2 linked regions of the Macaca mulatta genome follow. The protein of the gene in region 2 interacts with the protein of the main gene of each other region in a biochemical or structural test. Links are inferred from orthologs where the notes say so. Each region holds a gene or a part of one and is shown on either strand. Other genes may lie near its edges.

Region 1 (3,965 bases), on a different chromosome or scaffold from region 2:
TGCCAGGGAGTCCCTCACCTGGGAAAGAGAGAGGCAATGCCCGGCCTGGATTCAGAGGCCCATTTGGAGAGAAGCCAGTGTCCCAGCGGTGCCCCTCCCCACCCAAAGCATCGCTCAGAGCCCCCGCCCCGTGTGGATGAGGTTCCTCCCGACACATTCTCCTGGGTGTCCTGGCCAGAGGGGTACCACAGGAGCAGGAGCAGAAAGGGAAAACACTCAAAAAGACAGACAGGATGAAGGGCCAGGGAGGGGGCCCAGGGTCTGGCCAGGAGGGGCAAGATATACCCGCCACCCGCTAGCAAGAGACACCAGCACCTCAATATCAGAACACGATCCCCCACTCCCACCCCAGTCTACCCTCCAAACAGCCCCGGTCTCCAAACAGCCCTGGTGACTTCATTCCAGGTTGCAGGGGGCCAACAGTGGGATGGGGAGAGGAGCAGAGAATTCAGGAGGGCAGCGATTGGAAGGGGTTAGAAGTGGATTTGAATCACATTACAGCCTGGCCTCAGAGATCAGAGAGGGCCAGCCTAAGGCTGGGGTTTGCCTTCAGATCCCCCCACCCGGGCCCTTCAGCCCCTTCTAAGGCTGGAGGCGGGTGGAATCCTCAAGACCAAAGAGGCGAGCAGGGAGGGGAAGGGCTCCTGGCTGTAGGCCTGGCAGCTTAGAGATCTGGAGTTTTGAAACTGAGGCACCGGGAAAGTTTCGGTTGGAAAAACCGACCCCCAAAATCAGTTTGTCCCCTCAACGAGGTAACTCCGGCGGTGTCTTCCCAGCTGCCTCCTCCCCCAGTGGCTCCAGCCCCACCCGCGTTCCCGTCCTCCCAACCTCCTTGTTTACTTCCTGAATCACGCCCCACCTGGCTGGCCCTAAGGGCGGGTGGCGGGGCCCGGTGTTCAGGGCCAACAGAAAACAACTCTACTTCCCAGAGTAGGGGGAAGGGCTTGCGGGACTGAGGCCTGGGCCAGGGGCCTGGATGTGGCGGGAGCGTCCCTGTCCGCCCAGTACTCCACGCCCCGCCCCCACGGGACAGGCTTATAACCTTTTAGGGTGCAGGGCCCAGGTGAGAAGGTGAGAAACCCCTGGATGACTCCTAGTAGAAGGGAGGACCCAGGACTCTGAGGCCCCGCCCACTCTCACTCAGGAAAAATACCCAATGAGAGAAGGCGGGGCAGCTCTTTTAAAGTTTAATTCGGGAAGAATGCTGGAGTGTCTGTGCGGTTAATCATTACAGGCTGCCTGCTTCCATGAGGTCCCCCCACCCCGCACACAGCAGGATATCAGGAGAGAGCAGAGTCCAAGACCGGCGGACCAAAAGGGAGCATTCCTGGTGGGCAGTGAGGCTGGAGCGGGGCGGCGAGGGGGGGTTCCACCTTGCCGGCAGGTGCATTCTCTGTCCTCAATCTGCCAGGGAGACCCAGACCGGGTACCTGGGTCTCTCCTTAGCCTCATCAAGCAGAGGAAACCATCTGCCATCCCCTACCCCACTCTCCCCAGGCCCCACCGCACTGCAGAGCCCCTCACCCACCCCTCTAGCCTTCCTGGCCACTTCATGCTGAAGCCAGGAGGGACCCCGGCTCACCCGGCCTCCACTTTCCCACCCGAGGGCCGGAGGCGATGTTGCTGAGCAGGGCATACAGTCTGGAGAGATGGAGCCTCAACAATTTAGAGGATCCCTCTCCTTCACCGTCCTCCAAAGTGGAGGGGGCCCTCCCCACATCTCCCCGCAGCCCGCGGAGACGTCTGTCTTAGAGACTTGGGGAAACCCAAACTGGGGTAAACTGGGCGAGCCAGGGAGTGAGGGCGGCTCTCCCAGGGTGTGCGGGGAGGGGCCAGTTTCAGCGGGAAAGCCAAGTCGGAGGAGAGAATCAGGTCTTCCTTCCCATTCTCGCTGCTGGCTTCGGGGAGGTGTACCGGGAGGGAACAAGGAGGGCTGGAAACCAGGATGGGGACGAAAGAGGGCGGGTGGGGAGGAGGGGGCGGGGTGGGAGATGGGAGGAAAAGAGAAAAGTGGGAGGCCGAGCAACCCAGCAGGAGACCCAGCCTTTCCCTACCGGCCCCCAGACCGGCCGTGCCTGCCCCCAAAGGATGAATGCCCGCTTGGGTTCTTACCTGAACCCCGAACATCAGGACACCCGGCTGGGACCACGTCTTCAGGGAGGGAGACGCCAGGCCCTTAAGTACCTGTCCCCCTCCAGCCCCCGCCCCGGGCCTGACATCACCGAGCGGGGGAGGGGGAGAGCCAGGTGGCTCCAATCCGCCCACCTGGGCCGACGGCCAGTTCGGCCGGAGACGGGCACAGCCTGGGGCCCTGGTGCGGCTGGGGGTTGCCTGGCAGGCTGTTGTCTGAGACCGATCTCTGTCCCCTTACCTGGAGGAGCCCCAGCAGGAGTAGCAGGACACCCGTTCCGAAGTCTGGCTCCGTCTAGGAAACCCCAGATTCCTGGATTTTATTTCAGATCCACTCCCGCTTCTCTACAGGTGGTAGGAGGGTGTCCCGACTTCGGACAGAGAAGTCAGGGCCGGGGGAGCCCTGTGTGTCCAGATTCCAGGCCCAAGGAAACTAAAATTATCTTGGGCAGATGGGGGCGTGTCCAGGGGAGGCGCCTGGGAGGAGGAAGCCTGGGAGGAGGGTGGGGACTCCCTGACACTCTACGCCAACTGGGATTGTTTTTGCCCTTCCTAGCCTGGCAGCAGGTGCCAAGAGAGGGTGCAGGTGCCTAGGAAGAGGCGGGGAAGACAGCCGAACAGACAGCACCAACAGCGAAGATCAAGAGTCCCGACCACCTGGGAGGGCGGGGGGAGGGTCTGAGGGCTGCAAGGTAAAGGGAACCACCGGTCCACTCCTCCCAAACATCCTCCCTGAACCTGGTCTGTTCATTGGCCAAGCCAGGGGGCACTTCTGCAGCTCTGGATCCCACCCCATGGGGCAAAGAGCACCCTGCCAAGGAGGGACGCCAGCCACGGGGGTGTCCAGCAACATGGCCTGCCCGTCGATCTGCAGGCACCCATACCATGGTGGCTGTGCCCTGGCCCCTCAGAGGCACCCAGGGTAAGCCCCTCTCCCGCCCCCCACCTTCTGAGCAAAGTCCAGAGTCTTGGCTTCCCCTTTAAAATCGAGGGGCTTAGGCTGGGTGGCACAGTGGGAGAAGCCATGGTGACCCAGAGAAAGCTCTGGCCTGGGCCCCTGGAGATTCCTCTTAGAGGGATCACTTTATTTTTTTGAGACAGAGTCCTGCTCTGTCACCCAAGCTGGAGTGCAGTGGCGCCATCTCGGCTTACTGCAAACTCCGCCTCCTGGGTTCAAAAGATTCTCCTGCCTCGGCCTCCCGAGTAGCTGGGATTACAGGCCACACACCCAGCTAATTTTTGTATTTTTAGTAAATCGGGGTTTCTCCACGTTGGCCACGTTGGTCTCGAACTCCTGACCTCGTGTAATCTGCCCACCTCGGCCTCCCAAAGTGTTAGGATTACAGGTGTGTGCCACCGCACCCGGCCTGAGGGATCGATTTAGTTCTCTCAGGGATCACTTTAGCTCTCTAGTTCAGCACTGGGCAAACAGGGTACTTGGGAGAAGGGTTGGGAGGCAGAAATCAAAGGCTGTGGCCACCACCCAGCTTGATGCGGGTGACAGGAAAACAAACAATCCTTAGGGTGATAAGAGGTCCACCATGGGGGGGGCACAGAGGAGTGACTCCTGCCTCAATTTTCTCCAGAGTTTTCCTAGGAAAACCGGTATGAATGTGCCCAGCAAAGAAGTGGGGGAGGAGGCAAGGTCTCTTGGGTGATGGAGCAGCTTGTGCAAAGGCAGAGTAGACAATTCACTCATTAATTTATTCAACTCTCTGTTCAGTACCTACCATATGCCAGCCCCATGTTTGGTGCTGGGCATACTGGGGTAAGCAACAAAAACAGACCCCGCCCTATCCTCACACAGCCAATCAGGAAGATTGATGTTAATCAAA
Region 2 (3,512 bases):
TGGTGGAATTGAAGGATCATTTATGTAGTTTCAAAATCAATAAAGGAATTAAAAACAATTTTGTCTAGAGACATTTTCCTACAATGTTCTCTATGCCAAACCTATCAAAAGGGGTGCAATTTCACAGAAAACTCATTGTTTCAGGTGGAACAAAACAAAGGAAGCTACTGGAGTTCCTTAAAGTCATTGTTATGTGTACCCAAAAAGGTGACATGGAAAGCCCCTGTTTCATACTGACCAAAACTCAGCCTGTTTCTGGGAAACTCCCATTTGTGATCATAAGGAAGTTGTGTTGGGTCTATGTAAACGTAATTGTTTCCATTTATCTCCTCAACAACCTTCCACTGTACTTCATACATGGGTTTCTGTGGGGAGAAAGGGGAAAATGGATCACCTTTTAAGAATTATTGTCGGAGTCATTAGAGCACTCTGGAGAGAGAACAAATAAATGGTTACCTGTAAATATTTGTAGGTGAGAATCATCACAATAATGCACATCATGCCAGCTACGATTACAAAACCAATCAGCAAAGGAGTGAACAGGGTGTGGGGATGGATTTGCTCTAAAATCAAACAGAAATGTGGAATCACAAACTTTGGCAGGATGGGATCTCTACCACAGCCACTCATTCCCAAACTGACCTCCCAACTCACAGCCCATGGCAGGAAGCAAAGCTATGTGACTCTCAGAGCTTCACCTTGGTTACATCGTACTCTTGTTATTCAAATGAATCTTTAAAAATATAACTTGAAACCAGAATACTGCAGAATAGAAGTTGAGATTTCTGTAGAAAAGGAATAATTTATGCTGTTTTTCAATGAAAAGCAACATCTGAATGCACTTTGTACTTCAATCAAATCCCTGCCTTGTACAACTTTTAAAAAGAAGCTTCCTTTATGGATGGTTTATATTTTCTTCTTTACACTTTCCTGTATTTTCTAAATTTTCTACACTGAGCATGAATGTCTTTCACAACAAAAAAAAAACACCATTTTTAAGGTATGCTTTTCGTTGCCCCGTCTGAAAAATCGATGATGTAGAACAATGGAAGATTCTTCCCCTCATTACTCAAAACCTGAGAAAATACGCCACTTTTTGGCACTAGTCTTTGCTGACTCAAAAAAACAAACAAACAAACAAACAAAACAAACAAAAAAAACACAAAAAACAAACAAAACCCAAGAAGGCCTAAAAAGTAAGTGCCCACTTTCTTTGTCTTCCCACTTTGTACCAATTCAGCAATTTGCCCACAAGGAACTTTTAACTTATGTTAAGAGAGTTAGTCACACATGAATCAAATTTTAAATATTTTAAAGAAATAACTTGCTAACATGACTTCATAAAGGCAGTGTTAACTTTTGGATACAGTGTCTGGCAAAGTGTTAAAATAATTCACTTTAAATAATTGAAATTTTTAATTGAATTTAAATGTTAGATTGTTCTAATTCTGTTTGGGTGTAAGGTAAATATATTCCCCCCCATTTGCTTTCTCTACCCCTTTTTAATGGAGACAATTGTAAATATACAACTAATATAAAAGAGGCGCACATACATATAAAATATATAAAGTAGCATGGTTAAAAGTGCTCTGGTAAAAACATATACTTAACAAGCTAGTACAAAATGAAACATAGCGAGTTTGATGACAGTATGGTGTGATGTACGTATTACCAGAAATGACATGGTCAATGTTGGAATGAACTTAAAATCATGATTGATATGGTAGACAGAGCCTAAACATCCCCTTAAATTGGATTAAAAAGAAATATACCTTTGTTGTTACCTTTAAATGCAAAGTTAAAATAGGCAGAAGTCTTGCCCACATCGTTGTAAGCCTTACATTCAACCGTGCCATTGTGCTTGAATGCACTAGAATCTATGGAACTCTGAACCACTAGTTTTCCAAACGGTGGCCCAGATGCGTTTAGTGTCTGCACATCCACTGGCAGTACAGAAGCAGAGCATCTAAAGGGAAGAAAACAAAAGCCCAGGTTTACTCTAGGAAAATAAATAAATACATAAGACCCTTGGGACGTGGCACACTTTTAAAACAAAGTTAGAGGTTCATAATCAACAGAAAATGTCCTTTTACAAGTGTCTAAGAATAAGCACTTTGGTGACCTAGTGAGTGAAAAAAGCACTGGGGAAGAGAAGAAAGGGCAGAGGAGGCTTTGGAGTCAGATGTGGGTTTGAATCCTGATGAGTTAAAGACTGAGTTTCTACCACTGTAAAACGGGGATGGTAATACCCATTGCAGAGGGTTACTGAAAGGACTGGAAAGGAATTCAATAAAATGGCAGGCATATATGCTGGTACACAGCAGATCCCTAAAATAAACAAGCTTCAAAAGGGTACATGAATGGTTGAAAATAAATAGCATAGAGGAGGAAATCATAAAAAATCTTCAAGGGACTGAGCGCAGTAGCTCACACCTATAATCTCAGCACTTTAGAAGGCCGAGGCGGGCAGATCACCTGAAGTCAGGAGTTCGAGACCAGACTGGCCAACACAGTGAAACTCTATCTCTACTAAAAATACAGAAATTAGTTGGGCGTGGTGGCAGGCACCTGTAATCCCAGCTACTCAGAGGCTGAGGCAGGAGAATCACTTGAACCCAGGAGGCAGAGGTTGCAGTGAGCCAAGATCACTCCACTGTACTCCAGCCTGGGCAACAGAGTGAGACTCCGTCTCAACAACAACAAAAAAATCAAGAATGTAGACCAGGAAATAGTCAGAGTGATGACCGAAGTGTGAGTTCTAAGCAGGAAGGCCTAGTTGTACTGCAAGTGGCTGAGACCACCACTGCAAGGGATCTTTTCATGAGCCAGACCCCAACTTCCCTATTCTAAACACCTAGCTATTTCCTGTTTCCCTTCTTAACACCTACATACATTCACTGTTTATTCCATCTATTATGTGTCTCTACCCACTAGAACAAGCTTGTCCCACCTGCAGCCCACATGTGGCTCACAACAGCTTTGAATGCGACCCAACACAAATTCATAAAGCTTAAAACATTATGAGTTTTGTTTGCAATTTTTGTTTTAGCTCATCAGCTATCATTAGTGTTACTGTTTTTTATGTGCGGCCTAAGACAGTCGTTTTCTTCCTATGTGGCCCAGGGAAGCCAAAAGATTGAACACCCCTGCACTAGAATATAAACTCATAAAGGCAAAAAGACTTGGGTATGTTCTGTCCATTAGAACAGTGTCTGGTACACACTCGCCACTCCCTGTGTATCTACTGAATTAATGCCTGTAACTACAGGGCTTGCTTCCGCTGTGGTCATTCCTCCCAGGGGCTCCTTAGTATTCCCCAAAAGAAAACACTCTTGGAGCAAGATGGCCGAATAGGAACAGCTCCAGTCTCCAACTCCCAGCACGAGCGACACAGAAGACCGGTGATTTCTGCATTTTCTTTTTTTTTTTTTTTTGTTGAGACAGAGTCTCGCTTTGTCGCCCAGACTGGAGTGCAGTGGCCGGATCTCAGCTCACTGCAAGCTCCGCCTCCC

What was found. The genes of interacting proteins can lie anywhere in the genome.
Region 1: the proteins of KIT (region 2) and GRB7 form a complex in vitro, tested with the Homo sapiens proteins (3 studies listed by BioGRID and IntAct, with this or other methods). The link is inferred for Macaca mulatta from reciprocal best matches to the Homo sapiens genes KIT and GRB7.

What each region holds. Positions count from the first base shown.
Region 1 is NC_133421.1:64,090,943-64,094,907, reverse strand, and holds the start of GRB7 (growth factor receptor-bound protein 7), read right to left. Parts: upstream 2,803-3,965; 5' UTR 2,372-2,802; intron 2,154-2,371; exon of another isoform or gene 2,113-2,153; intron 1,934-2,112; exon of another isoform or gene 1,583-1,933; intron 1-1,582. UniProt on the Homo sapiens protein: Adapter protein that interacts with the cytoplasmic domain of numerous receptor kinases and modulates down-stream signaling. Promotes activation of down-stream protein kinases, including STAT3, AKT1, MAPK1 and/or MAPK3. Promotes activation of HRAS.
Region 2 is NC_133410.1:78,765,782-78,769,293, forward strand, and holds part of KIT (mast/stem cell growth factor receptor Kit), read right to left. Parts: intron 1,967-3,512; coding exon 1,773-1,966; intron 564-1,772; coding exon 457-563; intron 366-456; coding exon 239-365; intron 1-238. UniProt on the Homo sapiens protein: Tyrosine-protein kinase that acts as a cell-surface receptor for the cytokine KITLG/SCF and plays an essential role in the regulation of cell survival and proliferation, hematopoiesis, stem cell maintenance, gametogenesis, mast cell development, migration and function, and in melanogenesis.